4 linked regions of the Arabidopsis thaliana genome follow. The protein of the gene in region 1 interacts with the protein of each later gene in a pairwise test. Each region holds a gene or a part of one and is shown in the gene's direction. Other genes may lie near its edges. The genes, in order: BLH7, KNAT5, KNAT2 and HSFA1E.

Region 1 (7,262 bases):
CATCTTCGATCAATGCAAATCTTCTGGTAATTTTTTATATTATTGTTTATGTTTCGTCGATTCGCTTTGTGGTTTTTGTTCTAAGAGTGAGTATGTCTAACTTTATGCAGTTACTGTTCTCAAGTTTGGTCATATGAGTTCTGATATACTTGCATATGGAGCATCAGATGGAAGCTTAACAGTTTGTAGTCTCTTAGAAGAGCCTTCTGTCCTCAAGCAGTTGACAGGTCACTCTAAAGATGTCACAGGTTCGATTGACTGGTACTGTTACTTTTGTCTTTTCTGTATCTCAGTATCTGCTACACTGAATTGCTCTTGAATAATCTGAGAATATGATGATACATGGTACCTACTTTCTATGCTTTGTTAGGGGTAAGATTTGAGTGGAAAATGTAAAAGAATTATCTGTAATGGATAGAGCATAAGTGTGTATGTATGTCATTGGGTTTAGATCCTATGTCTAATATTAATACAAACTTCTTATCAGATTTTGACTTCTCGTCAAACAATCAATACATCGCGTCATCATCACTTGATAAGACAATACGAGTATGGGAGTTGTCAAGAGGCGTTTGTATTAGAGTTATATATGGAATCTCTCCACAGTATTGTATCCGTTTCCACCCTGTAAGTTTGATGTTCTTCATCATCTTTTTTTTTTTTTTTTTTGTCAAAGATGTTCTTCATCATCTATATATTTCTCCCTTGTAACAACTTGCAACTTTTTGTTTTGATTGTGAAAGTCGTCTCATATAAGATACTGAGTGCGGATGGTTTTTGTTGTTTTCTCTTGCTTCTCCATTGAAGATATTTCATTTCCATATTTTCAACAGGTTAATAACAATTTCCTCTCTGCTGGCAATGCAAACAAGGAACTCACGGTAACTTCACTACTCCTTGTAGCTAAGTACATTAGTGTATTGCTTTTTTCGTTTGTTTTCTAATTGTTTACTTATTTTATGCCTAACATCTCTCTGCTTGACAAAGTAGGTGTTCAATTTCAGCACTGGGAGAATTATTAAAAAACTGTTGTTTGAGGATGAGGTGACATCTATGGACCATGATCACACTGGCCAAATAATTTTCTGTGGAGATGGGCAGGTAACTTTTCTATACTGATGTAAAAAGATAAAAACTAGGGAGATGGTCTGTTATGGTTATGGTTGGCTATACCGATTACCTATGTTGTGGTCAAGACTGATCAATTTTTGCATTTGTTCGGTATGCTAGAAAAAGGCATTTCTACATTGTTTTTACAAGGTAGTTAATAATAATTGCAGGGAACTGTATATTCAGTAAGCATGGATTCGCATACAGGGTCATTATCCCGGTCTCATCGTCATCGTACAAATCACAAATCTCCTGTCACCACTGTGAAGTACAGAAGCTTCTCCCTCCTGGCATCAGGCCCTGTTCTGCTCACATGTACTCAGGACGGAAACTTGAGTTTCTTTAGGTTTGGCGACAGAACTACTTCTTTTTTTTCTTTCTTGTTTTTCCTTAAGAGATCCTTTTTTTTTTTTTTTTTTTTGTCAAGGTCCTTAGAGATCCTTATAATTGATTTTTCTGCTTTGTGTTGGTGATGCAGTGTTGCCCTTCAGATAAAAGGTTATTTGACTTTGCGTTGCTCCCTCAAATTAGCCCCGCGAATACACAGAATCCAAGCATCGTTTTGCCCGCTATTATCACTAGAGAAAGGAGAATACATAGGTTTGAATTTCAATCCTTCATTTACCTATAGTTTTGGTAATAGTAGATTCATAGGTCTCTTGAGAAGTGCAAGTCATTTTCTCCGCGTTTCTTCTTGTTTGAAACTACAGTTGCTGGAAGCGAAGACTCGAATGTCTACTTCTATGATCTAACCAAACCGAAGCACACATGTGTAAACAAGCTACAGGTTAGACAATAACTTCTTTTCTTTTTTTTTATCTGAAACTTTTGTGTATGGATTTTGAATTATAGGAAACAGGATTCACGAGTTGTGAGAAATGGATGCTTGCAGGGTCACAGGTTTCCAGTAATGTGTGTTGCGTGGAACCATGGGGAGAACTTGTTGGCTTCGTCTGATTTCTATGGTGTTGTCATTGTATGGAAAAGAGCAAAGACAAGCTCATAAGGTTTGTCTATAATATTATAAATGAATCTAAATCCGTCATTTTTGCCACAAAGGCTTTGGGTTTGGCATCATCTCTGTATCGCTAATCTCAAAACTGTGTCAATTTAGTTTCCCATCTCTTATAAAGATATAGTTCTGTGACACTCCTATGCACAGATTCAATAGCTTAAATGGTTGGAACAGACACGTCCTTAATGAGTTAATAACTCTTTCCATAGATAAGTTGGTAGACAATTTGAAGAGATCAAGTTAATTGTACTCGCAATGTTTTTTGTTTTGTCACATTATCATGAACCAGATTAATTATCAGTAAAATTAATGAAGATTACATAAACAACATTCCATTGTAGTCTAGTTGGTCAAGATACTCAGCTCTCACCCAAGAGACCCAGGTTCAACAAGTTCCGGCAAGCTGGTTCATCTAATTCTTCAGGGGACCAAATGGAATATGATACTTGGTTCTCTTAGAGAAATGTGGCTCTAGGATTATATTGAATTCAAATTATGTAACTGATGAGCATTTGGTGCTTATATTAGTGTGGAAGTGGTTGGACTAGATAATCATGCTAATAATTAAACGTATTTCAACCAGCAAAAAGAATCCGAGTGTTTTGTGTATTAATTCTTTTACTAAAAGCAATAGAATCTCAACTTCAACGTAAGTAGGGCACTAATAAAAACTTAACATTTACAATTCTCTTATTTCCCAAGCAAATATCTTCGGCGTCATGTTCATATTGGATTAATAATAATAAGAAGAAGGGTTGGTTGGTCGTCGTATATTATGAAGACACTCTTCCCTATCCACTGACTCTATCTGTCCATTGTCCAGGTCTCTCTCTCTCTTTCTCCTTCTGCCATCTCTGTCCCAATTCAGACTTCTTTCTCTTCGCTACCCATCATTTCACGTTCTTCACTTATCCACCCCAATTTACTATTTTTATTTTCTTTTCAAGTTTTTATTCTCATATTTTGAAGTGTAAATTTAAATAAAATGCTTACCTATGTTTTCCCACAAAATTAACTCTTGTGTATTTCGTAATTTTTTTTTTCATAGAAAATAACTAAATCACTTAATTCACAAAAAGTCTATTTTGGTCTCTCCATGCAAAAACTATAACCTTTCAGTGTGTTGGTAAGAAAAGGTGGTACCACCATTTTCTATCACACTAAGATATCTCACCACACATTTTAATTTGACTTACCTCTTACCACCATTTCGTACCACCTTATACTACAAATCAGACTTATTATAAAATGTCTTGGAGTTGGGATTTTCTCAATTTGTTTCTGATTCGTAATCGTAAAGTCCTCCATGACAAGATATGGACCTACACTTAGTGAAAAGAAAGTAAAAGTTAGAAAATTTGTAGAAATACCTAAAATCTGTGGGCACAAAAAGACAAAGCTAAGTGGGGAAAAAGGCCACTTATTCATTATTTATGAGAAAGAGATAAGAATATGAAGTGTTTTTTTTTTGTTTATTCCTTGCAAAAATAGTTGTATGCAAATGCAACTATATAGTAAATAGCATGTGGACCATCACAGATATTATTCGAAAGAACAAAAAAAAATCAAATGTTGAAACTTGAAAGTGAAATTTAAAGACAAAGAAGAAGAAACTGTAAAAAGCTTACCAAAAAAGTGAAATTATTTTATTGAAAAGAAGTTGAAAAAAAACATCCGTGTGTAAACTTTGACACGTCGTTACCCAAATTATTCCCCACTCTAATAAAGATGGACTAGTCTACACAAAAATTAATATTATCTTTGATTACAAATCGGACATGAAATATTTAAAAAATTGCATAGCACCAAAATTAGATATGAAAAACGTTCATTATATATTTGTCTTATTCTCCAAATATGCTTGATAAACACATTATTATAGAAGAATTACGAAAATATCTTTTACTATTGACACCAATCAGGAATATATCAAATATTTTTAGATAAGAATATAAAAAACACAGAAAATGATTGTATGGTGGTTATAGCTTCATTCAATTTTATTGCAGCAAACAAACAGAAAGGCCAGAGAGACGAAAGAGAGAGGCATTAGGGTTTAGGATTAGGTTTTAGAAAAGGGTTTAGATCTCTACCAACTGGTTTGTTAAGAACATAATCTCCTTACCACATTTTTACTCTTGAAAACATTTTGATCTGTTTTTGTTATCTTCACCAAAAGACTTGACTCCAAGAAACAAGAAGAAGAATCAAGAAGCAAGTTCAAGAACCAGCTTTTAATGAAATCTCTACTTCAAAAAGGAAACTTGCTTTAAGGAGGATGGATCTTTTGTTTTCTTGAATCTTTTGTGTGGGTAAAACATTTTGTATTATCAAGATTTTGATTTGAGGAGATAAAGAGTTTGTTGTTAAGTTTGTGTTCTTGGGATCATCAAGAGTTAAAACAAAAAAAAAAAAACATTTCTTTTTTCCTTCTTCAATTTGAGATTTAGTGTCTCCTTTAACACCCACAAAGCCAGCAGATGCTTTCCTGGTAATTCTTTAATCTATCCTTTCTTCTTCTTTTTAAATTCTTAAATTCATGCAGAGAGATAATTCTCATAATTTTCATTGGTTCAATTTCTTAAAATTTGCTTAATTAAGATTTTATTACATAATGTGAAGTATAAAAAGGGTTTAGTGTTGTTTGTGTTTGATTCTGAAACAGATGACTCCTTGTTTGATCTGATCATAAGAAGAAGAAGACTATGGCCACTTATTACAAAACTGGCTCAAGTGAGATTTATTCCAGACCAGAATTTGTCCCTGGAAACGCAATGAACTACACAAATTCTTTCACAGAGACATTTCCTAGAGATTCAACTAATAATGTGTCACCTTCAAAAGAGATTCAAGTGTTGTCAAGCCTTGGTGGAGTTTCACAAATGGTTGAGATTCAAGATTCTGGTTCTTGGAGAGATCAAGAAGACAATGACAGGAATCGCTTCCCGGTGATGAGGCGTCTTGGCCTCAGCTCGCAGATTGAGACATCGAGAGGCAATAATAACAATGAGTATGCAACACAGGTTGTTTCGGGATTTACTCGAACCATTCACAACTCAAAGTATCTCAAAGCTGCTCAAGAGCTTCTTGATGAAACTGTTAATGTTAAGAAAGCTCTAAAGCAGTTTCAGCCAGAGGGAGATAAGATTAATGAAGTGAAAGAGAAGAATCTTCAGACGAATACTGCTGAAATCCCTCAAGCAGAGAGGCAAGAATTGCAGAGCAAGTTGTCGAAACTTTTATCGATATTAGACGAGGTAATCCGCCTTACAACATATCTTCTACACTTGTTAATGATTCTCGTGGTAACATAAATGTTGTTTGTTTCTTTGTTGTTTGAAGGTGGATAGAAATTACAAGCAGTATTACCATCAGATGCAGATAGTCGTGTCGTCTTTCGATGTAATAGCCGGATGTGGAGCAGCCAAACCATACACAGCCCTTGCGCTTCAGACCATCTCGAGGCATTTCCGTTGCTTAAGGGATGCGATATCCGGACAAATCTTGGTGATAAGGAAAAGTTTAGGAGGGGAACAGGATGGATCAGATGGGAGAGGAGTGGGGATAAGCAGGTTAAGGAATGTTGATCAACAGGTAAGGCAACAAAGAGCGTTGCAGCGGTTAGGTGTGATGCAACCTCACACTTGGCGGCCTCAACGCGGTTTACCAGATTCTTCTGTTTTGGTTCTCCGTGCTTGGCTATTTGAGCATTTCCTCCACCCGTAAGTCTCTCTACTACTCTTGTGAATTTTTTGATTGACCACAAGAGACTCTGACCATTTGTTTCAAAACCTTGAGCTTAGTTATCCAAAGGATTCAGACAAGATCATGCTCGCTAGACAAACGGGGTTGAGCCGAGGCCAGGTATTGCACTGTTAGCTTTTGTGCCGTTTCTCTCATTTAATACTTTTCTTTCTGGTGTGTTCATTTTTCATTGTTTCGTTTGATGATTGTTGAAAGGTATCGAACTGGTTCATAAATGCGCGTGTGCGTCTCTGGAAACCGATGGTGGAGGAGATGTACAAGGAGGAATTCACAGATGCATTGCAGGAGAATGATCCCAACCAGTCTTCTGAAAACACACCAGAAATCACCGAGATTCAAGAGCTGCAAACTGAGTCTAGTTCCAACAATGGGCATGTACCTGGTGTGGCAAGCAGTAGCATGAGACAAAACACAGTGGCCCATGGTGGTGACCGGTTCATGATGGTGACTGACATGACAAGAAATGGTAATGGTGGGATGTCTTTAACGTTGGGGATTCAGAATTCCGATGCTCGTGGCGATGTTCCTATGTCCGGTGGGATAGATAACTACAAGAATACCATCTCGGGAACCGATCTACAGTACTTAAACTCTCGCAACCACCAGCACCAGATTGGCTCTTCACAATTGTTGCATGATTTTGTAGCTTGAGGAGAATAGAAAGGTGTAGAAATGGATTCTTTTGTGAAAGTAAACCCAAAAAACGAAATTGTAGATTAATGAGAAAACATGAGGAGACAATCTGAGATTAGACACGATCTGTTTCATATTTAAACATGAGGAGACCTAATTATATGGTTAGAGGTACATGAGATCAAATGTTTTGACATTAAAATTACACTTAAAATGCTAACAATCATTCAGAAAATTCAAAAGGATCTACCCGAAGTTATCTTATTGACAGGTTTCTAAAACCTAAGCATGTCCAAAAAGCGGAAGCACAAGTTTCTGTCTGCGTTTACCTGAAAAAAGAAGCATTAAGGAAGTTCAATAACAGAGAAATGTGAGTTGAAGAGTTATGTGTGGATCTGATCTAAACTGATTTTACCTTTTGTAGAGAACTCTTATGTCTTCTCTTAAGGCAGGACTTTCGAGGAACGTATCACCAGCTTCATCCACATCGATCGTCTCTACCTCAAAGTTTTGATATCCGCAGTACTCGTTCCACTCGAACCACATCTTTGAGATGACTTCCTTTTTGAAACAAGTGTTGTGATCCTCTTCCTCAGGTGATGACCCAGCAATCAATCTATATGCATGCACCATCTTCTTTTGTCCGGGTCGAAACGCTCGCCCAATAGCTTGGCGGGTCACAGAAGGGTTTAGGGGAACATCCAATATTAGTATGCGAGATGCTCCAACAAGCGAGATA
Region 2 (7,180 bases), on another chromosome or scaffold:
ACATCGTCTAAGATTCCGGCCAAGGATGATTGGGTGGCTGTAGCGATAACTGACGACGATTTGGTCGTTGAGCTTCTTTTACGGCTGAAGCATGCCGGAACGGTAGTGTCGGATAATCCGGCGGTGATTCTCCCTCCGTTGCGGTGGGGAATCCGTCAACGACGGTCTCGTTCCTCAAGATTTGGTGGCGGCGGCGGCGTTCTCGTTTCCTTGAAGAAAGATGTCGATTCCGTTAGAGCCAGTCCGAAGACTCCTCTCTCGTGGAGCGGCGGATCTGGAAGTGGTGGCGGCTCTGCTTCTCCTTCCGCCGATGGATTCGAGGATAACAGTCGCCAAGCTAGCTGCTCTACATCTACAGGATCTGGATCTAAGGTAACTTTCTCTTTTCCCTATCGTGATTTTCAACTTTTGCCTCTCGATTTAGTCTTCTCTCTCTATCTTCTTTCTCTCAATTACGAATCCGGTAGCTCCGGAGAGATGGCAAATCCGTCATCTCGCTGGATAATCCGATTCCGATCTGGCCGATAAATCTGGATTTAGCCGTTCGTAATTGAGAAGATCCTTGGCCGTCTCTCTGTTTTTCTTCATTTTTTTTCCTAAAATCCATAAAGTTTAGCCTGACGTCATCTCTCGCACGCTTCAATTCTCACTAGAACGTATTTAGTCTGTTTTCTTCAACTTCTAACAAATTCACCGGAAAAAATTCCTCCGCCGTGATTCGCCGATGACACCGTCGGCCGGAGCCATCCTGCTTCTAGGTTAAATTCATCTAATCTCCAAAAAGTCAAAGCCACTTTAAGCTTAATTTCCTTGTTTTCTGCTCATTTTTTGTAATTAGAAAACTCTACTAATCTTCTGTAACAAAGCTTAATAAGAGACCTGTTTTTCTCGGTACGCATTGAACCGGATCTTGCGTGGCCGGTTAGATGTGGATTTTTAGAAATCGGTCAACTTTAATTTTGTCTTGAGGAATAATTAAAGCTCCTTTTAGATTTTGGGGGTAGTACAGCTTAACAGCTAGTTGGTCAAACGCGTCCGCGTTTTATTGAACGTTTTGATGCTCGAGACGGTAGCGTTTTGTGGGTTGAAAGTTGAAACGAGTAAAATGATCTTGTCGGAGAGATTGGTATCACGTGATCTTTAAAAGAGTGATGACGATAGATGACAATGCCCATGACACGGAATAATCATGATGTGGCATCAAATCCTCACTATAAAAATTCTTTCCCAATTATATATTTGAGATTTTTTAATTTTATGCTCTATTTGGTTTCTTCGATATATTTTTCTTACTTGTTTGAAATTTCTGTTGTGGGAAAAGAAACTTTTTACCGGTATGTTAAAATAAGATCTTGGGTATTGATTATAAAAGTAAAACAGTTGTCGTTATCTTCAGCCATTTAATAGTTGACTAATCAAATGCGTTTTTGTTTTGCAGGTTTTTCCCACAAACGAAATCACCAGTTGTTTCTCCAAGAGATTGAAGAAGAGGAAGGTAAATATAAAGTCTCCTTTTTGAATTTCAAGTACACACTCCAAAATTCAAATTTTATTGAGCTGATGGTTTTTTATTCTTTTAATATTTGGCAGTCATCTTTTGAGCTTAAAAATGAAGAGAACTTGAAGTTGAAGGAGAGACTTGACCTTGAAAAGGTAGATTTTCGTTGCTATTCTCTGTTTTATTATCATGGTTTTCATTGTATTCTTAAAAAAACCCAATATTTTTCCACAGGAGATTGCAAGTCTCCGAGCAACATTCGATGAACAAAACCTTAGGAACCAAAAGCTGAAGAGGATTAAGGTAACATTTAGATTCTCCCTAACCATCTTTACAGTAATCAGATATTCCAGATCCCTTCTCTCTATTTGCTGGTCTCATCGACTCTTGTGTTTTCTTGTTTCAGCTTGACTTAAACTCAGGCCGTGTCACAAACAAGAAACCTGTTGATTTGATTCGTAAATCACAACTCGAGCGGCTACAGGGATCAAAATCTTGCAAAACCAGTGACTCGCAAAATCAGGGGAGTTTCTTCGTCCTCCCTGATCTCAACATGGCGCCATCCGAGGAAGAGATATTGTACGGAACTAGCTAAAAACTGGCCTATATGAAGATTTGCGATCGAATTATAGTGAAGGGAAGAAGGGAGCTAGAGATGTCAACTAAGAAAAGTGAATGTAATAAGTGGTGTAATGAAACTCTCCCGTCACATTCTGGTTTTCCGTTTCCTTCTTTTTTTGGGGTAAAATGCTCAATTACTTCTTGATTTTTTCTTAGGAAGAGGGTGAAAATTAGGTTTTTACTTTTTACTCCCTCCCTCCCTCCCTCTCTGTTTTCTTTAATTTGATGTGTTAGAAGAAAAAATTTGTTTTAAATAGATGGTGTTATCAATTTTTAATGCAAAATTAACTACTTTTTTTTTTCTTTCTTTCTCTTTGTACCGATTTAAAAGCTTTTGTTGGAAATTGTAAAGAGGAAAAAGTAGGACAACTAATAGACTTTTTATGTTCCAAACATTTTCTTCTTCACTATTCTCCATACATTATTATATTAAAACCCTAGTTTCCGCTCAACTAATCCAAGACAAGAAGATCTATCAATCTCTTTGGACATTCATTTTTCTACTATTTAATTTGAATTTTTATAATATAAACTTGGGAGGTGTAATGCTATTGGTGGGTTGTCGGCGTGTTCATGGAAAAAGATTCGTTTTTAAATGCCCAATAAATTTGAGAAAAAATTGCCAACTTGTTTATGAGCTTATTTTCTTTTTCATGGATCCCAAGTCTTTTGTGTATAGAGATTAAAAAAAAATGACATTCCTTCATGTAAAAAAGAAAAAAATATCTGGGTTTTAAAAATATCTACAATGAGTTTAATGGTAAATATACTTATCATAATTTGGAGAATAAAGACCTAAAGAAGAAAATTACACTCTAGAACAGAAGTTTTGTAAGCAAATCATTGCTCACAAAACTTGTGAATTACAGAATTACAGGCTCTTGTAGGTTGAGTTATTTTATGCTTCATTTTGGTTACAGGCTTTATGTTGACATTAAAACAAAGAGATTGAAGTAGAGTCCAAAAAAAAAAAAAATATATATAAATATAAAATTCAAGATTAATTAAAAAATATTGGTCTTCAGAGAGATAAATAACTAGGGGAAAGAGAAAACAGTCTTCTCTTCTCCGATCCCAAAAACGCAGGAAAACAATGTCGTTTAACAGCTCCCACCTCCTTCCTCCACAAGAAGACCTTCCTCTCCGACACTTCACCGATCAATCACAGCAACCTCCGCCGCAGCGTCACTTCTCTGAAACACCTTCGCTTGTCACCGCCAGTTTCCTCAACCTCCCTACCACCCTTACCACTGCGGATTCCGATCTCGCTCCTCCGCACCGCAACGGAGACAATTCCGTTGCTGATACAAACCCACGCTGGCTCTCCTTTCATTCGGAGATGCAAAATACTGGAGAAGTACGTTCTGAAGTTATCGACGGAGTCAACGCCGATGGTGAAACGATACTCGGCGTTGTAGGAGGTGAAGATTGGCGGAGTGCTAGCTATAAGGCGGCGATTTTAAGACATCCGATGTACGAGCAGCTTCTTGCGGCTCACGTGGCTTGCCTTAGGGTTGCGACTCCCGTTGACCAGATTCCGAGGATCGATGCTCAGCTCAGTCAGTTGCATACCGTCGCCGCGAAATACTCCACTCTTGGTGTGGTTGTTGACAACAAGGAACTTGATCATTTCATGGTAAGTTTCACTTTCTAATTTTGCAAAATTTTAATGTTTTGAACTGTGAACGATTCAGCCATTTATTTCTCTTTGATTATCTGAGTATAGCAAATTCACATTTTTGTGTGGCTCATTGTTCCCGCTTCTCGAGTCTTGCAATCGATATGATCTTTGCTTCTACTTTTTTGGTTAGCTTGTAATTCGAATTATGAACTTTGTCTGACTCAAATAAGTTATATTTGTTGCATAAAGCTTCTTCTTTGATGACTAATAGTTTGTCTGATTCTTGCTGAAAAGGACTTTGCATGTCCAAGAGAAAGAAAGCATAATCTATTTTTTGTAACGTTCTGTTTGTATGTCTTATGGATTGGAATCTTACCTTTGATTATTATGTTGATGCAGTCACATTATGTTGTCTTGTTATGTTCATTTAAAGAACAACTCCAACACCACGTTTGTGTCCATGCAATGGAAGCCATTACGGCTTGTTGGGAGATTGAACAATCACTGCAATCCCTAACTGGTAACGTCCCAAATCATTTTTTTTTTTTGTTATTGTCTTCTTGCTTTATGTGTGTCTTGGTTTTATCGGTTTTTCTTTGTTCTGGTTTGTAGGAGTTTCTCCAAGTGAAAGTAATGGTAAGACAATGTCGGATGATGAAGATGATAATCAAGTAGAGAGCGAGGTGAACATGTTTGATGGAAGTTTGGACGGTTCAGATTGCTTGATGGGGTTTGGTCCTCTTGTTCCAACCGAGAGAGAGAGATCTTTGATGGAACGTGTGAAGAAAGAACTGAAGCATGAGCTTAAACAGGTAATTGCTTGATCAAGCTGCAATGGTACATCAAACTATACAAAACACATTGTTAAATCATGTTGCTCGGTTTCTTTTTTCCCCTGTAGGGTTTCAAAGAGAAGATTGTGGACATAAGAGAAGAGATAATGAGGAAGAGAAGGGCGGGAAAGTTGCCAGGAGATACGACTTCTGTACTCAAAGAATGGTGGCGAACTCACTCGAAATGGCCATACCCAACTGTAAACACCTTGGCCGAGAAGTTTTGTTACCACATTGTCAAAAGCAAGGTTTTAATTCGTGATTTGGTTTTGGAATTGCAGGAGGAAGATAAGGCAAAACTGGTTCAAGAAACCGGTTTGCAGTTGAAACAGATCAACAATTGGTTCATCAACCAGAGGAAAAGAAACTGGAACAGCAACTCTTCCACGTCATCTACTCTCACCAAGAACAAACGTAAACGGTAAAACAAGATCCGTTCTCTTTTTCAAATTGCGCAATTTCATTAAACCAACCCGGTCAAGATCTTCTTTTGTAACCAAACTCAGGACCGGGAAGTCGTAGGTGACATAGCGGCTAACTAGAGGATGGTTCTTTGCCATGTGAATTCTTGGGAACCGTATATGAAAGAAACGAATCCGGTTCTATGCTCGTACAGAGTGTGTTATTTGTATAGTGGATACCGGTTAGCCTATGAAACCGGATTCTGGAGTCCAAATTGTTGTTTGTAACGACTTAGTAGTTTTTGGAAGTGATCTGTTTCGTTGGTTTGCGTCTTGTAACGAACGCTTAAGCAAGTGTGGGTTTTTTCTTGTAAAGTGTCAATATGTTCGTTTGTAATGAATGTATCAAGCAATATTTATCATAATTAAACTAGCTTGAAATGTAGTATTACGATGTTGTTGTGTTCGTCTGATTTCTCTCACCGGTTGATGCATGGTTACGTTCGGCTCGGTTTTTATATGGTTCAATTTTTAATATATCGATAATTTTAAATGATTTCACTTGTATTATTAACAAAGCCCATTGGTATTTGGCCCAAAATCTGAATGCCGACTTAATGACTTGTTTCTTCTTCCTTCAGCTTCTCCAACGAACGGCTTTTGTTTTAGTTTTTTTTGCTTACCTTTCTCTCGACTTGGTCTACTTTTGTTACTCTTTGAGTTGGGTGATTATGGCAGCAGCACCACAGGAGGAACGATCTCCGTCGCTTGACGATTGCCTTAAGCTATTGAAAGGGGAGAGAGACGAGCAGAGGCTCGCCGGTCTACTTCTCGTCACCAAATTCTGTAAGAACGATGACATCGTTTCTCTCAACAAGGTCTACGAAGCCGTTGGTACTCACTTTCTCGACCGTCTTTTCCGTACTGGTAATCAAAACCCCGAATTATTGATCTTTGTCTCAGTAAATACTAATATCAATTTTGGGGTTTCTACAAAGTGTGAATTTTTTAGTTGAGATACTAAAGTTTGTTGCTCTGACTGGTTTCGATTTTTTGTTTTGCAGGTAGTGGCAGTGGCGATGGGGTTGATAATCGTGATGTGTATCTGCAGATATCTATCACTGTTCTTGCTGCATTCTGCCGTGTTCCGGAGATAGCTTCTTCAGAAGAGATGGTCTCCAGAATTCCCCTTATTCTCGAAGTAATGTCCAAAGGGTATGTTAGATCACCTGATTCTTGCATTTGCGACTTTCCATGAAGTTTTTTTTTTAATCAAGCTTTGCTTCTGTGTCTTCAACTTTTTGCATATTGTGATTGCCTAAAGTTAGGAAATTGGCTTTTGGAATTTCAGAATAACTACAAACATGCTCGAAGATTGCTATGAGCTTCTGTATTTGGTGTCCACGGCTTGTGAAGCTGGTCTCATGACTTTGATTAACTCTGGAGGCTTGAGAGTGATAGCTCCCCAGATGTCTGAGTTACCTGATGGTAATACATACTCTTTCATTGGGTTTACATTCTTTTGTTGTGTATATGATGCACATTAGATTCCATTGAATGCTATTTCGGATTGATTATATTTGGTGTCAAAGAAAACGTGCCATGTTGAGGTAGATGGATTTGATAATAGTTTTTCACTGGGAGCTAATGTGAGACATGTTATTCAGGTTCACATGCCATGGAGGTTGCTATAAAGATTCTGCAGTTATTGGTTAGTAAGCTTGATTGTGGGAGCATGACTATTGAACGCTTCTTAGAACTGTCTTTGGTGGTGAGTCTACTTACTTGGTTACTTTTTGTTTTCTTTTCGCAATACTTACTAAAGCTGCAATGCTGAAGTTGGACTCCAAACATAATGTTAACTTTTATTCAGATTGCTGCTGTTGCACGGCAGTTTGCGGTGTTGCATAATGCCCTGAAGTTTGAAGCACTCCATTTACTGTCTGCAGTCTTCTCGTCAGAGTATTCTGTGAGTTTTCACTTCTTAACTTCCTCCGGAAAAGTATCTATAGTTACTAGCATGATTTATGTAGATTTAATGCAGCTAAATTTTCAAAATTTCTGTCCATTGAAATTGGAAAAATTAAAGTTTTATTTTCCTTTACTTGGAGAAATACAGTTGCCTTCATCGTCTTGATGTTATTTAATATGCATGTTATGTTTCCATTGTAGAAGCTCTACATCTTTGTTTTGTGTGCTTATCTTT
Region 3 (10,199 bases), on another chromosome or scaffold:
TATATATGTTAAATTCATTTTTATATATAAGAAAACTTTGGTCCGACTAATATTATTTGGGGAGTATAGTTATGGATACCCGTTCAAATCATTTTGACTAAATTATACCACCATTCTAGATTTACGTATACGTGTGATCATGCCAATTCTATTTTATTGTTGACTAAAATAAGGTGTGATTGTGTGAAAAAAGCTCTTTTTAAACGTGGTGGTTGTGATTTGTGAGCTCACCAATGAAAAAAGTCAGCTAGTAATTGCACTTTTAGAATAATAATAGTTAGGTTTACGTCGTCAAATGCGCCATACGCATAACCATTAACCAAAAGGTTTAGGCTTATGATTATAGAAATAATTGTTATAGGTGTATAAAAATAGAGTCAAAATCGAAGATAAGCAAAATGGTGCCACGTTAATCAACAAAGATCGTAATCTTTTAACCTGAGCTAATTAAGTAGAACTAACTTTCCATTAATGTATCTTTTGAGTTTTTGATCTCACCCGCACAGTTGGAGCCCAATTCCCTTGCCCTTATCGTTGACTCTACTAAATTTTCAATTTGAAGTTTCTGCATTTATTCTGTACGTGTAAGTATCAATTAATTCTGATGTAAACGAACATTTGATAGTGTGAGTGCCAAAATTATTGGTGTATATTTTTGAAATGTAACGCTTTTTATTATATTGTTGTTATAACTTATATAACAATACATAAGCAAAATTAGCACCAAAAATAAAAAAACAGAGCAAGAAAGTTACACTACAAATTAATAAACGAGACGAACTTTATTTTATCGATTTCTACAATGTTCTAATTTTACTATACTGTAGTAGGAATAGAAGGAAGATGGTAGAACAGTTTCTCTTCTAAGCAAACTTCCACGAAATTAAAGAAAGACAAATTTTATATTTGAAGGACCACAGACAAAACGCAAAGGACCACTTCATAAGAAACATTTGAAAATAGAAACAAAAACACATTGCATCAGGATGCTTAGCATTGTTTTCGTTTTAATGCATGTCCACGACATCCCCTGATCATGGGAATAAAATCAATGAGCTAAACAGTAATTTATAATAAGCTGGTTTTTTTTTGTCGTCAACAGCAATTTTTTAACGTGAGAAAAAGAGATTAGAATCTTTAACAAAAAAAAGTATTAGATTTAGTAGATGCTCATGTTTCCTGTCCCAGTAAACTATTCTTCTCCACTGTTTCCAAGCTCCATTTCAAAAGATTTATTCCTCAGTATAAAAGTTAAAATAATCCATATTTTACTTTTTTTGGTCTATAAAGTCCCCGGCCAAAGTTTTGGTGCAACCATTGCTGAAGAGACAAAAGATCAAGTGGTTCTGTGATCAGTTGTTTGCATAACAAAAAAAAAAAACTATTGGTGGCTATTTAATTTGTCCACTTTTCTTACAGGTACGTTGATATGTTTTGGTTAAGTTATAATTATATGTTAGTTAATTAAAAATGAGTCTCTCAGTGTTTAGTATAGTAATCTCAAATTTCAGTTCGTTACAAGCGTTATGTAGAGATGACTAAAAACAATATTTGTTAAAACATAACATATTAAGACAAGCATATAAAATTTTATAAACCATATTAAGATTATTTTGATAACATGTAATTGTATAGCATAAAACTACTTAGAAAGAAAGAGAAACAACCAAAGGAGAGTATTAAGACCTGGGATTCCCAAAATAAATAAATAAAATCCATAAGAAGCTAAGTAATCTCCAATTTCAGTAACATTTCTAACAACAGAAACAAATTTGTTCAAAACCACATATTGATGATATGAGATACAAAAAAGAATGACAATAAACTCCTACAAAGTTGAAGCAACCGAGTGGTACAATAATATATTAACAAAAACCTCAATACAAAGAATTGAAACCTAACAACACTAAATCACGGGAACAGTATGAACAATCCATGATGAAACATTCGAGTGGTACAATATTATCTTAGCAACATAATTATATGCACTTGATCTAATAATTTAGTCGTCACTTTTTGTTATTATTATTTTTTCTGCAAGACACACATTTTTTTTTTGCAATCATTTCTCGACGATAGTGATCATATAGATTATAGAAACTTGTGACCCCCCCCAAAAAATACAGAAAAGTTTAGAAACAATATAAATATGTGCTGTGAAGGCCACCGGTGGGGATTCAATACGATACGATCCAACGAAGTGAAATGAGAGAGAAGGAAAGTTCTGTCGTTTTTATAAGGTTTGATACTAAAACAAAGCTTTATGTCAGTTAAATTTCACACCAAAGTAGTCCGACGGATGTGTCAATCAAACCTGTCCATCATCAAAAAGACCTTTATGACATTTGTTTTTATTTTTTTTTGCGGAAAAAACGATATGGATCATCGGATCGGGTCTGGAGTAGACCCATGCAAAAATATAGTTTTTTTTCTTACAACAGGGTTTATAGATGGATTTTGGTTTATGACAAAAACTGCAGGTTCTGTTACTATATAAGGTAATGAAACATTTTGAGTTGATATTATACGCGACTAACAGATTCTCTATGAAAATAACAAGAAGTGCGATAAGTGGAGTGGCCACTATAAAAAATAGTTCCTAAGAGTGTGTTTAATTAGCAAATGACTGAAAGCAATTAAAAAACAAAAATTGTTTACTATGTTGTGATTGATAATGAGCACCTAGCTACCATAGACGTGTTTTACAGAGAAACAAAACTAGGTGAAAATTGAAAGAGTGAAATTGAAGTTGAACCGATCCGGTTAGACAACTAGAATCGTAGTAGCCTAGTAGGTGTCGGCCACCGTAATTGAAACAAAAAGCTTATTAATTAACAAAATTACCATCATTTGTTTTTACTGTCAAAATTCAAATTACCATCGTCTAACCTGTTTTTGTTAACAAGTACTAATTGTTGTCTTCATTAGCTAAGTCATAAATTCTAAAGGTTAGCGTGCTATTTTGATCATTTGTGCGATAATATTATATATCAAAAATAATCGTAACCATGTAATCGTACAGTTAAAAAAAGTGCTCTTGAATCACGAAGAAATCTTTTTATAATCACTCGAATCGTATTCCTTAACACATATGGCAAACCCTTGAAATCTTTCTTCTTTTATACTAGTACGACAAAATAAAATAAAAATTATGGTGTCTTTAAGAAAAACTTGTAAATTATCATAATAAACTATGAAAATTCATATTCGTGATTTTTTTTTTTTTTTGCTTTTCGTCACAAATCATTTTTTTTTTTTTTTGGTTTTTTGCTGAAATATTTACGATCATTGCCCTCAGACTACTATACTACGAGACCGCCTCAACTTGGCCAGTCTATCTATTTCCATTGTCTCTATCTCTCTCTCTCTTTGAAGCAGTTTGTTACTTCTTACTTTTGTGTTTCTTCATATTCTTCAGAAGCAAGCACAAGGCTAGGGATCGAAGAAGCGGCGATCACTGATCGTATCTCACTACGATCACATTAATGGATAGAATGTGTGGTTTCCGCTCGACGGAAGACTATTCGGAGAAAGCGACGTTGATGATGCCGTCCGATTATCAGTCTTTGATTTGTTCAACCACCGGAGACAATCAAAGACTGTTTGGATCCGACGAACTCGCTACCGCTTTGTCCTCGGAGTTGCTTCCGCGTATTCGAAAAGCTGAGGATAATTTCTCTCTTAGTGTCATCAAATCCAAAATCGCTTCTCATCCTTTGTATCCTCGCTTACTCCAAACCTACATCGATTGCCAAAAGGTGATCTCGCTGCTTTCGTGTTTTGTCTTTTCTTTTTCTTGTTGTGTATGATTTTGTGCTTTCAAGGTTAATTTGATTAAGCGTCAGGAATTTTACATGTATTCATCGTCGTATTTAAAGATAGTTCTCTTACTTTTTTTTTTCTATTCCACTTTAACCCTAAGATAAGATTGGAGAACTAGAGAGACTGTGTTTATATGTGAGAGTGATTTTTTTTTTTTTTTGGTTATTGATTGACAGGTGGGAGCGCCTATGGAAATAGCGTGTATATTGGAAGAGATTCAGCGAGAGAACCATGTGTACAAGAGAGATGTTGCTCCATTATCTTGCTTTGGAGCTGATCCTGAGCTTGATGAATTCATGGTTTCTCACTTTGTTCGTTGCCTTGAACTTTGATCTTCTAGTTTTTCTTAAAATATAATTTTGTTTTTTTGTGGTGTGATTCTAGGAAACCTACTGTGATATATTGGTTAAATACAAAACCGATCTTGCGAGGCCGTTCGACGAGGCTACAACTTTCATAAACAAGATTGAAATGCAGCTTCAGAACTTGTGCACTGGTCCAGCGTCTGCTACAGCTCTTTCAGGTCAGCACTAAAGTGATATCTATCTCTTGTTCGAGTGTACTTTTGATTTCTTGTTTCCTAGCTAGTGTTTTTATTGATCTTTGAGCACTATCCTCGGTTTGTGTGTCCTTTAAAATCCTTGCGCAAATTTCTCCTTACAGTTACAGATCTTGCGGATTAGAAAATCTATCCTCAGATAACTTTTCCTTTCTGTGCTTCAATGATCAGTTTCTTGGAATTGATGGAAAAATTGGAAATCTTCTACTGTTTTTTTTTTCCTTAAAGAAAACGAGAATCGATAAGTTGTTGTAGCTGAAACTAGGAGGAGCTTAGTAGATCCGGTTTAGACAACCCAAGGCAATAAAAGTCAGAAAAAAACAAGGAAACTCTAAAACCCTAGTTTTGTTAGAAAACAATGATTGATTCAGCCACATCTTTTATATTTGGTAGAAGTCATTCATGCTTTAGATAGATCCATGACCTTCACACATCTTTGTGACATTTATTTTCTATCATTAGCTATGGTTTAAGCTGTGGGGCGGATATTAGGGGAAAGCCGGTGGGTAGGATTTTCTCTGTTAGTGATATTTATTTTCCTAGTGATTTTGGTATGGTATACTTTTCTTTTGTTACTTTTATATATACTTGTATTATTATCTTCTCCTCTGTCAGAAGAAAATATGGGTCTATGAAAGCAAAAACTTTTGCGCTAGAGATTCTGATTTTGACGTTTCAGTGTCGTACTGGAAGTTTTTTAATTGCTTATTTCCAGTGAAAATTCAATCATAGAGAAAAAACCTAGTCATAACTTCCACTAATAAATGCCACTGATTTTTCTTGAGTTTGTCCTTGGCTTCATGTTTAGATCTCTAGTAGTATCGCTTGTTTTCATCTTCATTAAGAGACTGATGGGTAAAACAAAACTTTACTAGTTCTTGATTACTCCAACTTCTCTTGGTGAATGAACCAAAGTTTATACTACTTTTCCATAGAAAGTGTCAGACTTAAGTTTTATCCATGTCACTTTAGTTTTTACTATTAGAGAGATAAAAATTTATTGTGTATAATGAGTATAACATAAGATTGATTTGTTTTCTTAGTGTATGTGAAAATTAATGACACTAGCCCTTATTTTTGAATACATTGTATTTGCACCTAAGGGTCTTACATTTGAAGTCCACTGTGTTCAAATTACATGTACAAAATCATTGGTGTGATTAATTTTCACGAACCTATCTGACTTAGTAAACCAAAGAAGTGTCTTGATCAGGTCAAATAGTTGGATTTTGTGTTTCTTTAGCTCGAAAAAGCTAAACCAAATCTCTGTTGGATTTCAGTTAATCTGAGCTCATGCGCATGTAAGTCCATAAAAATGCTTGATGGCCAAGAGGCTTGTATATTCTGCATGTCGTGGTTAATGTGTCTGTTATTCTTGTATTCTTGTTGGAATTTTATGTGAATAAATAAATGATTGAAATGCATTAAGACACTTACACAATGTAAGTGAGGTTTACTAATTTGCCGAGGTATTAAACTAAACTTAATGGTACCTTCTTTTCCACCATTTGTTTTCTTAATTAAGCAGAATAGAACTTTGTAAGTATTTTACAAGCAGCCCAAATAAGGAATAGTAGGTTTCTTAAAAGAATGTAATTTTAGTTGTCTTTGTGTTGTTTTTGTAGCTTATATTGGTTAAACCTTTCCAACAGGGCAAAAATTAGTTTCTTGTTAATCTACACTAATCTACTTAGCCACGTTCATGTTGTCAGAATACGTGTGTATATTTTTTATAAGTAAAGTATTTCACTATCTTAGGGATTTTAAAGTAATCATTTTACTTCTTCATCTCCACCTGATAAGAACTAGCTGGAAAAAAATTGGAACTACAATATAGTGGAATTCAGCTTTAATAGTCTTCTTTTTCTTATATGTTGATATCAAATGCTGCTTCGGTTGTACTTTGTTAGCATTGTTTAATTCCGAAAAGTTGTTAATACTTATCAGCGTACTTAATTAATTGGAGTTTACATAGGGAATAATCTTGTCCAAAAGGTTGAAAAACAGATCACTTGCAGCTTGAATTTATCTTTATTGGACGAATGTTTAGTTTTTTAATGGTTTTGAAGTACCACTTACCTTTTTAGCGTAATCTCATGTATGATTTTGAAGGAATATATATTACCTTATGAACATCTTTTCCTTGGTCAATACCTTTTTCTGTTTCTTAAGTCCCGAGAAAGGACTTTCTTTTCAACTGAATATCTTAAACTAATAGTATAACTCATAATATGTAGTTTTCAGAGTCATGTGCTTTTGGTTTCTTTTCGTGCTAATATGCTTTAGGAATAAACCAAATCCTCTTTAGTCAACTGATGTTTGTCATAGCAATTGTGTTTACTTATTTTTTTCGTTCTCGCTTTAGTGTGCAATTGACCCTTTTCGTGATTAAGATGGTCAATCTTGGCCATGGTTTTTGTTCCATCCTCATATTTTCTTCTAATCATTTGGTGTTCGGATGGTGTATTGATACAATGAGATCCATGTGCGATTTTGTATCCATATGTGGAATTTAGGACTATTGTTTAAGATTATTCACTACAGTCTACAACTAGTATTTTTGTGTTGTAAAATGCATTCACCCTAGGTCCCTATGCATTCACCCTAGATATATCTTTGGCTGTGAATGATATTCTATTCATTCAATGTTCGTAGGAAACTCGAAAAGCATGTTCTTTTGAACAAAATACTCTGTCATGGCACATTAGTTACTTCACCAGTTCTAGACATGATAATACTGATAATCTGTTTGGTTATATCACCTTCGTTGATAGAATGGTCCTTTTGACACGCACAAAAAAACACACCCAAATGCTTGAATTAGAAATCTTTTAGCCCTTTTTAATTTCTAAATAGAAGAAGTTGGAGACAGAAGCATGAGGTGGTCAAGTGTCACATGGACTCCCGTGGATTACGTTGGTGGATCCCTTTATGACCCAATCGCAACACTCTCTTTTTAAGATTTGATTTGATTTTAAAGAAAAAGAAAGAGAAGAAAATAGGGGAGAGACATGGGTTTTGATTTATGTACAATGCAATCATCTTACGACTAATGTTTCTCCACATCTTTTTCTACTGTTGCTTAGTGGTTGTCATTTCCTCTCTGCGTTTGTTCCCTTAATGGGCCATGCAATTTCCACGTGTTTAACTTTTTTTGGGAGATGTACAAGTCTATCTACTTTTTTTTTATCAGTGCATGTTGTCTCTTTCGCATTGTCTTGATGTTATATAGGAACCAAATTCGGCTAATAGGTAAAGAACAAACCGAGTTACTATTGCACATACCATCCTCAACTAGCAAAGTTTTCATGGATAGGGTGTGAACTATATTTTGTGTGATTTGTCTAAGGATCAGCTCATTAGTGGTGTAGCAAACTACAACCTAAACTCTTTAGGGAGACTTTGAAACGATGTCTTTCTGTAATCACTAAGTTGAGAATACTAAGTGAAATTTCTATTAATGCAAATAATTTGACCATTAATCATGTTTAAACTCCCTTAATTAGGCTCCCTTTTAGTCGCAGTAACATAGGGGTCAGTATGGTATGGTCATAAATGGGGCATTATGAGAAAGTTCATAAATGTTGGGGAAGCGTTTTTTCCGGGGGTCACTCAAACAAGTGTCAGAAAGGTGATACGTGTCGTGACTCAGGTGGCTAGTGGTAAGTCCCAAAGGAGCACGTCAGTGGCAATGGAAGCTAAACTATTCAGTGACTGCGAAAGTTTTTGACTGATCATTTTTGTGCCCGGGTCTTGTAAAACCTCGATATTATCTCGCTATCCTTGTTTTTCCCCTTTTACCCCTTTCTTTCACCCTTTTTTTTTTTTTTTTTTCCTTTCTTTCACCCTTGTTCTCTTCTCTATGCTTTTTTGGCTCTTTTCTTCTTTTAGCTGCTTTAGCCACTTAGTCATTTAGCCGAGCCTACTAGTATCTTAGTGTTAGCTATGTTTGTTAGTGTTGGCATAGTGGTAGAATTTGCTTTCTACATTGTCAAATATGCTACCATAAATAGCACCACCATACATTCTCCTAGTACATTTTATCGGTATGGCACGTATTTGGCTAATACGTGGGAGCTAATCATTATTGAATCTTCTGTATGACATTATTCTCATGTATGAGCAGATGATGGTGCGGTTTCATCTGACGAGGAACTGAGAGAAGATGATGACATAGCAGCGGATGACAGCCAACAAAGAAGCAATGACCGCGATCTGAAGGACCAGCTACTACGCAAATTTGGTAGCCATATCAGTTCATTGAAACTCGAGTTCTCTAAAAAGAAGAAGAAAGGGAAGCTACCAAGAGAAGCAAGACAAGCGTTGCTCGATTGGTGGAATGTTCATAATAAATGGCCTTACCCTACTGTAAGTGTCTTTCTGATTCCACCGTAACCTAGCATACACTCATTAATTTATTTCTTCGACATATTAATATCCGCCTCTCGAATGTGTATAGGAAGGCGACAAAATATCTCTGGCTGAAGAAACAGGTTTGGATCAAAAACAAATCAACAATTGGTTTATAAACCAAAGGAAACGCCATTGGAAGCCTTCGGAGAACATGCCGTTTGATATGATGGACGATTCTAATGAAACATTCTTTACCGAGTAATGAAAAGAGAGACATGAAATTGTGCATTGTATAATTTTTACACTGTTTTTCCAAGAAAAGAAAACAGTAAAAAGCTTTTGGTAAATGGGGCATCATCGCGAATGAATGGAACCCGTTAGCCAAAACGGTCAAGGGCGTAACGAGACATTGTATTGGAAATAGTGGCAATATTATGTCACTAATCTTCCAATCATCCAAATTGATAGATTTCTTATTTGTATTGAACCTTACTTAGATAGCTGATGTGTCAACTAAATAATTTATTTTCATTATCCATTCGGGTAGAAGAATTCATTATCCATTCGAATTTTGTGACTATTTGGCTCGGTTTCGGAGCCGGATTTTTCGGATCGGTTTTTGGATTTCGGATTTTATGCCCAGCCCTACTTATACTACTTGTATCAATGTCTCTAATTGATCAATTGTTGCTTGCTATTCAAATATCTGTCTTGGCAGTTCTCAAGATCGTACAGTAAGGATGTGGGAAGTTACTGGGGGTGGTAAAGATAAATGTTTGAAGCTTGGGTGGGTTGAAGAAATTGCACCTAGGGCTGGAATTATTGAGTACTTCTTTTTTGTTACCAAGTATGATACATAAGATAACTTACCTATACTATCTAGCTTCTCTCAGTGGTTTATAACAAGATTTTAGTTTGTGCTCAACGATTTGTATTTTGTTTTTCTTATACACTTATTCAAGCCTCATCTACCACTTAAACTAATTTTTAAAAAGTATTAGTAAAATTAACATGGTTTTAACTAAAAATTATTAATTATTTATCTTAAGGTTTAAGTTTTGAATTGGTTTTAAATTTTTAGTGAAAATCATTATTATTTTTTAAAAATGAGTTGAAGTGTCAAATCTATATTACGTGAAAACATTACCGAACTTCGAACACTTCAAGACTTACAGACCAATTAAGGACGGGATGCCTAGGCGCGGTTAGTTCCCGACGTTTTTAAAATTTAACACTTAAACTAATTTTAAAAAAATAATAGTGAAATACATGGTTTTAGTTAAAAGTTAAGAATTATTTATCTTAAAGTTTAAGTTTTAAATTGTTTCTAAATTTTTAGTGAAAACTATTATTATTTAATTATAATTTTACTAAAAAATATTTTTTAGAGAAAAGAAAAAAAAATAATAATTGAAGAAAAATAATACCTTGTTGGATTTTGTAGCAAAGAAAGCCCAATGAAAAA
Region 4 (7,531 bases), on another chromosome or scaffold:
CTTAGATGCCACTGACTTGATACCACTCTTCATATAATTCACAACAAACATCGCCACCTCTCTGCAAATTACAGTAAATTGTTGTAAACCATTATAGAGTACAAGAGAATCAAAGACTTGTTTTGTCTGTGAGTAAATCTCCTTACAAGGGTGAGCAAGGAGTTCGAGAACCGTTGATGAAGTAGACAAACAAGAACGCATCAAAATGATGTCGATTGATTAGATAAAATCCATGTAATCTCCGCACGCATCTGAACATCAATCTTTTGTACAAACAGATCGCAGCATTGTTGTGTGCAATCACATGAAGGTAAACTCCGCGACACACAGATAAACCGGAAGCATATTTAATTACCTCACTAATAAGTGACATTGCTGAGAGTTAAAAAAAGTTGCAGAAACATCAGAAATTATAAAACCAAGCAATATATAGAACATGTTTCAGATACTTATTAGTATTATAAGAGTCATGTACCGATTCCACGGTTTCTGTATGTTTCTACAACTCCGAGTGTCAAGATGTATATCAAAGTCTCCTCTCCTTTCGAGGAATCGTAATGTATAAGATCATCTATCTGTGCAAGACACAGAAACCATCTGCCAGCTGATGAAGATAGATAATAAGAAGATAAAAACAACACTAGACTCAATTGCATTACCAGAGCTCCCAAAACAGATTATTCAATCATAATTCAGACATTATTACAAGCCGCTGTTCTAAAGATTTTTGACAAGTGAAATAACTTTTATTTAGTGTACATGATCACAGACGAACCAAAAACCATAAGCATTATGAACTAGTTCAACATTCAAGGTGATTACAGGACCTGAAAGATCATTATTGTTCGAATTACAAAAAGACGAATTCATAGAATGAAAACTAACCTCGCTATCTTTGGCAAGCACAAATTTGGCAGTAACAAAACCAATAAGTTCATCAGAGTGATCATCAGGCCGGCTCCGATCAACAGCAGCCCATGAGACGATATCAACTCCGTTCACAACACTCTGGAAAAACTCAGACTCATACCTGACAAAACAAAAATCAATACTTTAGAAATCTTTTCACAAGACACCAACATAGGAAAATCCAAGTAGATGGATGCATACTTGATGGGGAAGATATCGCGATGGATTTGCTCCAAACGATCTAGATCATTAGGGTTTATAGGTCTATAGTGAATACTTGGGCAAAGAGAGATTCCTGCATCTTCCATTGATGAATCATCTATGAATCTTCGAGGAAATCGCGACATTGTTTGGTATCCGAAGAACCAGAAAAGCCACTTCCCATTGTGAAGTGCCAGATCACTGGATCCGACCCGTTGAAGTAAATGGATCCGGATAGATTTAACGAATCTGGATCTGAGTGGGTTTGTTTGGATTTGATTGGTTAATCTTCGGCGAAGGAATCAATCAAGAACCGAGTTTCGAGCATGGGAAAGAAAAAGGTGCTTGCTTGCTTTGCCCTCTCCTCTGTCTCTTGGGGCTTTTTCTCGTTCCAAGTGAAGCATCTTGGCTCGTGTGCTTTGCGACAACCAATCACGTGCCTCTTTTAGAAGGAGAGTACTAATGTACTATTTATGAATGGAATATTCGATTCTCTTAAATGAAAAATTGTTCCATTTTCAATAATATAACCATTTTTAACAATAAAAATTCGTACTGTTTTTTCTATCTGAAAAAAATGGATTTGAAAAAATTCGTACTTTCGATTCATAATCTGCTTTTTATTATTATTCGTTATAAGTCTGTACTATGGTAAGAGAACCTTAAAATATTCCCCTCCACAACAAAAAATAAAAATCAAACTGGAGAAGAGTTAGGCAGTAAAGGAGAATTTCCTTGCCCTATTAACTCGATTAGGCGGGCCAATACACTTGTTATGTGTTTTCCACTTTTCTTCGTTACAAATTTAGATTAGTCTTACATGATGAGCCGTTAGATATCATAGAAAGAAATAATCTTATAAAATTTGATAAGATTTCTATAATCCACAAATCTGGATCGATGTTTATTTCAGATTTATAAATATTGTCTTAAAAAAAAAATTATTGGCCGTCTCGGCGGCAAGCAGAGAGAGAGAGACTCAACGTTTTCGTAACAACAAAACTTTGAGTAGCAGAAAATTATCCAAAAAAAAACGTGAAACGCAAATGGAAAAAATTGAGAAAAGTAACGCGAGTCCAGTGCCACGTATGAAAAAAAGAGCTTAGGACCAGATACGTTAATCAGAAAAAGACCAGGTACGTACGTTAATTAATGTTTTTTTAAAAAGGCCAAGCACGTTAGTCCAGCCCACGTGGTATTTCTTATCTTAACAACAAAACTAATTTTTTAATTTAATAATCGGACGTTGCAGAGGTAATCAGATCAACGGTAGAGATTACGACACGTTATATCACTCTGCGAAACTCCACCGCTTTCTGGAATTAAAAAAATCAGAGTGTATAAATAAAAGAGCAGAGGTAAAAGCTATCTCCAGAGTTTAATATAAGTGTAGACAGAGAGAGAGAGAGCTTCTTTCTTCTTCTCTTCGTCGCTAAGAGATGATCTTCGAATATAAATCTCTGTAAGGTTTGCGAAGACCGGAGTAGTGAATCTCGGAATTGTTGAAGAAGACGGTACACCGGAATCAATTGCGATTTTGATTTATGGGAACGGTTTGCGAATCTGTAGCGACGGCGAAATCTTCGACGGCGGTGATGAGCTCCATTCCGCCTTTTCTGAGCAAAACGTACGATATGGTTGACGATCCATTGACGGACGACGTGGTGTCTTGGAGCAGCGGAAACAACAGCTTCGTGGTTTGGAACGTGCCTGAGTTCGCCAAACAGTTTCTACCAAAGTATTTCAAGCACAACAATTTCTCCAGCTTCGTCAGACAGCTCAATACTTATGTGAGTGAACTTCGATCGATTCTTTTTTATTTGTTTTTCTCTTCATTGATTCGATTTTCTTCAATTTCGTAGTTCGATTTTAGGGAATCTTACTTTATGTGCTTCATTTTTATTTTACTCTCTTGTTTTTTTTGTGGTTGAATTAAGCATTAGTTATTGATAAAACTCACGAATGATTTAAGGTTGCAAGAAGGTGCTTTGAGAAGTCGACTCCTATTTAGTGTATAGTATGATGCTACTGATTGATGTTCCTATATAGTTGTTGACGCTGGTGGTTGAACTATGCACGTCTAGTAGGTTGTGTTAATGTTGATTTTAGTTGCACTAACTGTTAAGATTGGATCTTTTTGGGTTCTGACAAACTCGTGCAAGATAATTTCACATATTTGTATTGTTCTTCAGTTGTTTTTTGTACATGTATACCCTGTGAACTGCAGGCATATATGTTTTTGTTTTTCTAAGTATCTGAGCTTGCATCCGTGTCTGTGAGGCTGGAATGAATTTTCTTAGGTCAAGCAAAACTAACAAGTGTATACTCTTGCGTAGCTTGTTCCTCCCCTGTTCTTATTTACTTACCAAAAGGTTCCACGAACTTTGCAGGCTTATTTGGACATGTGCTCATATGTGTCTGACGATTGGTTGATTCAGCACTTCCATTTCTGGCCTCTTAAGTCACAAAACAAAATTTCTATCAGTTGTCCCATGTTAGCTTTCCATTCGTTTGTATTTGTCCGTCCAGGTACATGCCGATACACTAACAACTGTATTAGTTTCCTTGGACCATGGTAGTTTGGTGCTGCAGCTAGACCCAGTGAACGTATCATACCATATCTAGAATAGTTGTTATTAACGTATTTAATGGTCTTTATGTTTATACAAATCTTCTATGTTGGCTTCCTATTGCAACGGAATCCAAGTAACTTCTTGCGGTTGATGACTGTTCCATTCTCCATGCTTCTTTTTTTCAGGGTTTTAGAAAAGTTGATCCAGACCGCTGGGAGTTTGCAAACGAGGGCTTTTTAAGAGGCCAAAAGCAAATACTAAAGAGTATTGTCCGGCGAAAACCTGCACAAGTGCAGCCTCCACAACAACCTCAAGTTCAGCACTCATCTGTGGGTGCGTGCGTTGAAGTGGGCAAATTTGGACTCGAAGAGGAAGTGGAAAGACTTCAGCGCGATAAGAACGTCCTTATGCAGGAACTTGTAAGGTTGAGGCAGCAACAACAAGTTACCGAACATCATCTGCAGAATGTGGGGCAGAAAGTTCATGTGATGGAGCAGAGGCAGCAACAGATGATGTCCTTTCTAGCAAAGGCTGTCCAAAGTCCAGGTTTCTTAAACCAATTTTCTCAGCAGAGTAATGAAGCAAACCAACACATTTCTGAAAGCAACAAAAAGAGGAGGCTACCTGTTGAGGACCAGATGAATTCTGGCAGTCATGGGGTTAATGGTCTTAGCCGCCAGATTGTGAGATATCAGTCATCGATGAACGATGCAACAAACACTATGCTTCAACAGATACAGCAGATGAGTAATGCACCTAGCCATGAATCTCTCTCAAGCAATAATGGTAGCTTTCTTTTGGGCGATGTTCCAAATTCTAACATTTCAGACAATGGGAGCTCCTCAAATGGATCACCTGAAGTTACATTGGCAGATGTTTCATCCATTCCTGCAGGCTTCTATCCTGCAATGAAGTACCACGAGCCTTGTGAAACAAATCAAGTCATGGAGACCAATTTGCCTTTTTCTCAAGGTGATCTCTTACCTCCAACGCAAGGAGCAGCAGCTTCTGGGAGCTCAAGTTCGGATCTTGTTGGATGCGAGACAGATAATGGAGAGTGTTTGGATCCAATAATGGCTGTTTTGGATGGCGCACTCGAACTAGAAGCTGATACCTTAAATGAGTTGCTTCCTGAAGTCCAAGATTCTTTTTGGGAACAGTTCATTGGTGAGAGCCCAGTGATTGGTGAGACAGATGAGTTAATCTCAGGATCAGTGGAAAATGAACTGATATTGGAGCAACTAGAGTTACAATCAACCCTGAGTAATGTGTGGAGCAAGAATCAACAAATGAACCATCTTACTGAACAGATGGGACTTCTCACATCAGATGCTCTCAGAAAATGAGATTGCCACAGGCCACAATCTTTCCTCACGAGGTAATCAGTCTATCTATATTGATATGTTATAAACCACACACTTTCCAAAATTTAAATTTTGTGCAAAACCAAACCCCTCGTCTTTGTCTTGTTATCGCAGATGGGTTAAGATTTTGTGGAGCCGCAACAACAAAAAGAATATGACCAAAGGAGGTACTATGTATGTATGTATCAAACTGTTGTAACTCTAATTCTTGTCAATGTATAATAAAATAAGAGAAATATTGCCTTAAAAGATTTTTGCATTGCAATATCTTTGTTTGTTACTGACAGAATGAAAAGGAGATGCTTCAAAGTGAGAGATATTCTTCTGTTCTTGTGTATGTCTTTAGAGATCCTTGTTTATTTTTGTTACATTAAGTGCAAAAATTGGCATTTTGGTTAACCTGTGGCCAAATCTTACCTGCTTTAGTGTTTTTTTATCAGTCCTTCACTTTTAGTTTCTTGAGTAAAACTAATGTTCCAATTTCGTCTAAAGGAAATCATCTAAAGAGAGAGTAAAAAGGAAGAACGTGTGTCGTGTGGATATAGTAACAAAGTGGTTTAAAAGGATCAAGTCATTGATTACACGGAATCAAAGTGTATGTACATGCATATGTTAAGCTCTGAAACTGCAACCGAACCAGATCCATTTGTCGTTTGTATCAATCTTAAACTTGCTTTTAACATTACATACAACATTACATATGATATTACCATTAGTTGTAATTTATATAGCTTATATGATATATATCTATTTCTGAAAACTATATAAATATTTTACATATGATAAATTTCACAGATATCTCATGGATATATTGCTTTAAAAGAGGATATGAACATTAATAAACATGTAATTTGTTAAAAGAATTGATAAAGACCATATATTAAGGATAAAATAGTTACTCTGAAAGAAAATTTGAACATTCATGCATGCAATATATAACGTATGTCGAACACTCGATTCATATATAGCTAACAAATGTCGAAAATATTATCTTCTTTAAAATACGAATCAAAGCTATAACATTTTTCTATTGTCAAGAAATCTTTTGGCATCCATTTCTACAAACCAGTTCCGGTGAATTAACGCTTAGCACGACTGTTTTCCCTCCACCGAACAACCTTTGACCGTTCCAATAATTGGTTCAATTAATAATTTAATTTAAAAAATTTCGTATTCCATCCACAATCATTTATTTGATTTAAATAAAATAAAATTTTTATTCTCTTGCTCATTAATAAGAAAATCAAAATCTTTACTCGTTTGAAATTTGTAATCCATTACCTGTCATCGTTGACTTGTCAAGAAGAAACAAATCAACTCTAAAAAGAAAAATGTTGTTCATCGAAATCGAAGCTTGACAGTATTCAAAATCAGATTCGAGATGAGCTGCGACGGAGGCAAACCGGCGCCGGCGAAACTAGGCGACGAACAACTAGCGGAGCTCCGGGAGATATTCCGATCATTTGACCAGAACAAGGATGGAAGTTTGACGGAGCTCGAGTTAGGCTCACTTCTAAGATCTCTCGGTCTAAAGCCGAGTCAAGACCAACTCGACACATTGATCCAGAAAGCAGATCGGAATAACAACGGACTGGTCGAGTTCTCCGAGTTCGTCGCCCTCGTCGAGCCAGATCTGGTCAAGTGTCCTTACACGGATGATCAGCTTAAAGCCATCTTTAGAATGTTTGACCGCGATGGAAACGGTTACATAACGGCGGCGGAGTTAGCCCATTCGATGGCGAAGCTAGGTCACGCGTTGACGGCGGAGGAGTTAACGGGAATGATCAAAGAAGCTGATCGAGACGGCGATGGTTGTATTGATTTCCAAGAGTTTGTTCAAGCGATTACTTCAGCTGCGTTTGATAATGCTTGGGGTTGAAGAAAGAAAGGTATATATATACATAGTTTGAAATACTTGTGTTTTGTTTTTTTGGCTTCATCCTCAAATCAAAGACATTTGGAAGTATATGTGTGTAGGTGCGATTCCATGGAAAATGTGTGTTATTTATTGTTTCATATTATTCTTTGATGAAATTTTGATAGCTTGAAGAGAAAGCTATCATTGTTGGTTTTAGGGCAAGAAAACTTTGCTATGCGTGTGAGTCACTTCTCCACCCGTCGCTTTAGCCACTTTAGTTTATGGAGATAAAGGTCTCTCAATATGCAAAACAAAAGAAAGCATCAAAACTGACTCTTTATCTTTATATGTATGGGGGATAATCAGCAAATATCGTATGATTATGATCTTCTAGTAAGACAATTGCACAAATTCATGTAAATTCGAAAACGATCCCCAATAATGGTTAAGGAGAAGGGAAAACAAATTTGTCACCGAGATATGTCAAATGATTTGTGAATCCAAGAGTTATTACATAGATTTAGCCCACATGTCTTCTTCAACCAGTCCTGCACGAGTTACATAGATTTAGCCCACATGTTGCTAACAACTAACAATCTTTGAGTGTATACGCATTCATTGACTAT

Evidence for each region.
Region 2: the proteins of BLH7 (region 1) and KNAT5 interact in a two-hybrid assay, tested with the Arabidopsis thaliana proteins (one large-scale study listed by BioGRID).
Region 3: the proteins of BLH7 (region 1) and KNAT2 interact in a two-hybrid assay, tested with the Arabidopsis thaliana proteins (one large-scale study listed by BioGRID).
Region 4: the proteins of BLH7 (region 1) and HSFA1E interact in a two-hybrid assay, tested with the Arabidopsis thaliana proteins (one large-scale study listed by BioGRID).

What each region holds. Positions count from the first base shown.
Region 1 is NC_003071.7:7,100,769-7,108,030, reverse strand, and holds BLH7 (BEL1-like homeodomain 7), read left to right. Parts: upstream 1-4,102; 5' UTR 4,103-4,616; intron 4,617-4,790; 5' UTR 4,791-4,830; coding exon 4,831-5,382; intron 5,383-5,467; coding exon 5,468-5,847; intron 5,848-5,928; coding exon 5,929-5,989; intron 5,990-6,085; coding exon 6,086-6,541; 3' UTR 6,542-6,762; downstream 6,763-7,262. Other genes in the region: AT2G16405 (Transducin/WD40 repeat-like superfamily protein), read left to right, coding at 1-26, 111-248, 488-627, 834-881, 991-1,101, 1,281-1,456, 1,589-1,710, 1,821-1,897 and 1 more; DRD1 (SNF2 domain-containing protein / helicase domain-containing protein), read right to left, coding at 6,849-6,852, 6,939-7,262.
Region 2 is NC_003075.7:15,490,915-15,498,094, forward strand, and holds KNAT5 (homeobox protein knotted-1-like 5), read left to right. Parts: upstream 1-3,074; 5' UTR 3,075-3,212; coding exon 3,213-3,755; intron 3,756-4,139; coding exon 4,140-4,260; intron 4,261-4,352; coding exon 4,353-4,552; intron 4,553-4,641; coding exon 4,642-4,773; intron 4,774-4,854; coding exon 4,855-4,994; coding exon of another isoform or gene 4,995-4,998; exon of another isoform or gene 4,999-5,079; coding exon 5,080-5,095; 3' UTR 5,096-5,467; downstream 5,468-7,180. Other genes in the region: AT4G32030 (uncharacterized protein), read left to right, coding at 1-372, 1,439-1,495, 1,591-1,653, 1,733-1,801, 1,905-2,093; AT4G32050 (neurochondrin family protein), read left to right, coding at 5,706-5,901, 6,039-6,189, 6,326-6,462, 6,642-6,745, 6,848-6,943.
Region 3 is NC_003070.9:26,573,150-26,583,348, forward strand, and holds KNAT2 (homeobox knotted-like protein), read left to right. Parts: upstream 1-3,336; 5' UTR 3,337-3,485; coding exon 3,486-3,758; intron 3,759-3,998; coding exon 3,999-4,133; intron 4,134-4,206; coding exon 4,207-4,345; intron 4,346-8,507; coding exon 8,508-8,749; intron 8,750-8,840; coding exon 8,841-8,996; 3' UTR 8,997-9,282; downstream 9,283-10,199. UniProt on the Arabidopsis thaliana protein: May play a role in meristem function, and may be involved in maintaining cells in an undifferentiated, meristematic state. Probably binds to the DNA sequence 5'-TGAC-3'.
Region 4 is NC_003074.8:670,960-678,490, forward strand, and holds HSFA1E (heat shock transcription factor A1E), read left to right. Parts: upstream 1-2,468; 5' UTR 2,469-2,654; coding exon 2,655-2,900; intron 2,901-3,868; coding exon 3,869-5,029; 3' UTR 5,030-5,061; intron 5,062-5,161; 3' UTR 5,162-5,469; downstream 5,470-7,531. Other genes in the region: MCC1 (MEIOTIC CONTROL OF CROSSOVERS1), read right to left, coding at 1-61, 147-375, 476-575, 886-1,030, 1,111-1,256; AT3G03000 (EF hand calcium-binding protein family), read left to right, coding at 6,429-6,926. UniProt on the Arabidopsis thaliana protein: Transcriptional activator that specifically binds DNA sequence 5'-AGAAnnTTCT-3' known as heat shock promoter elements (HSE).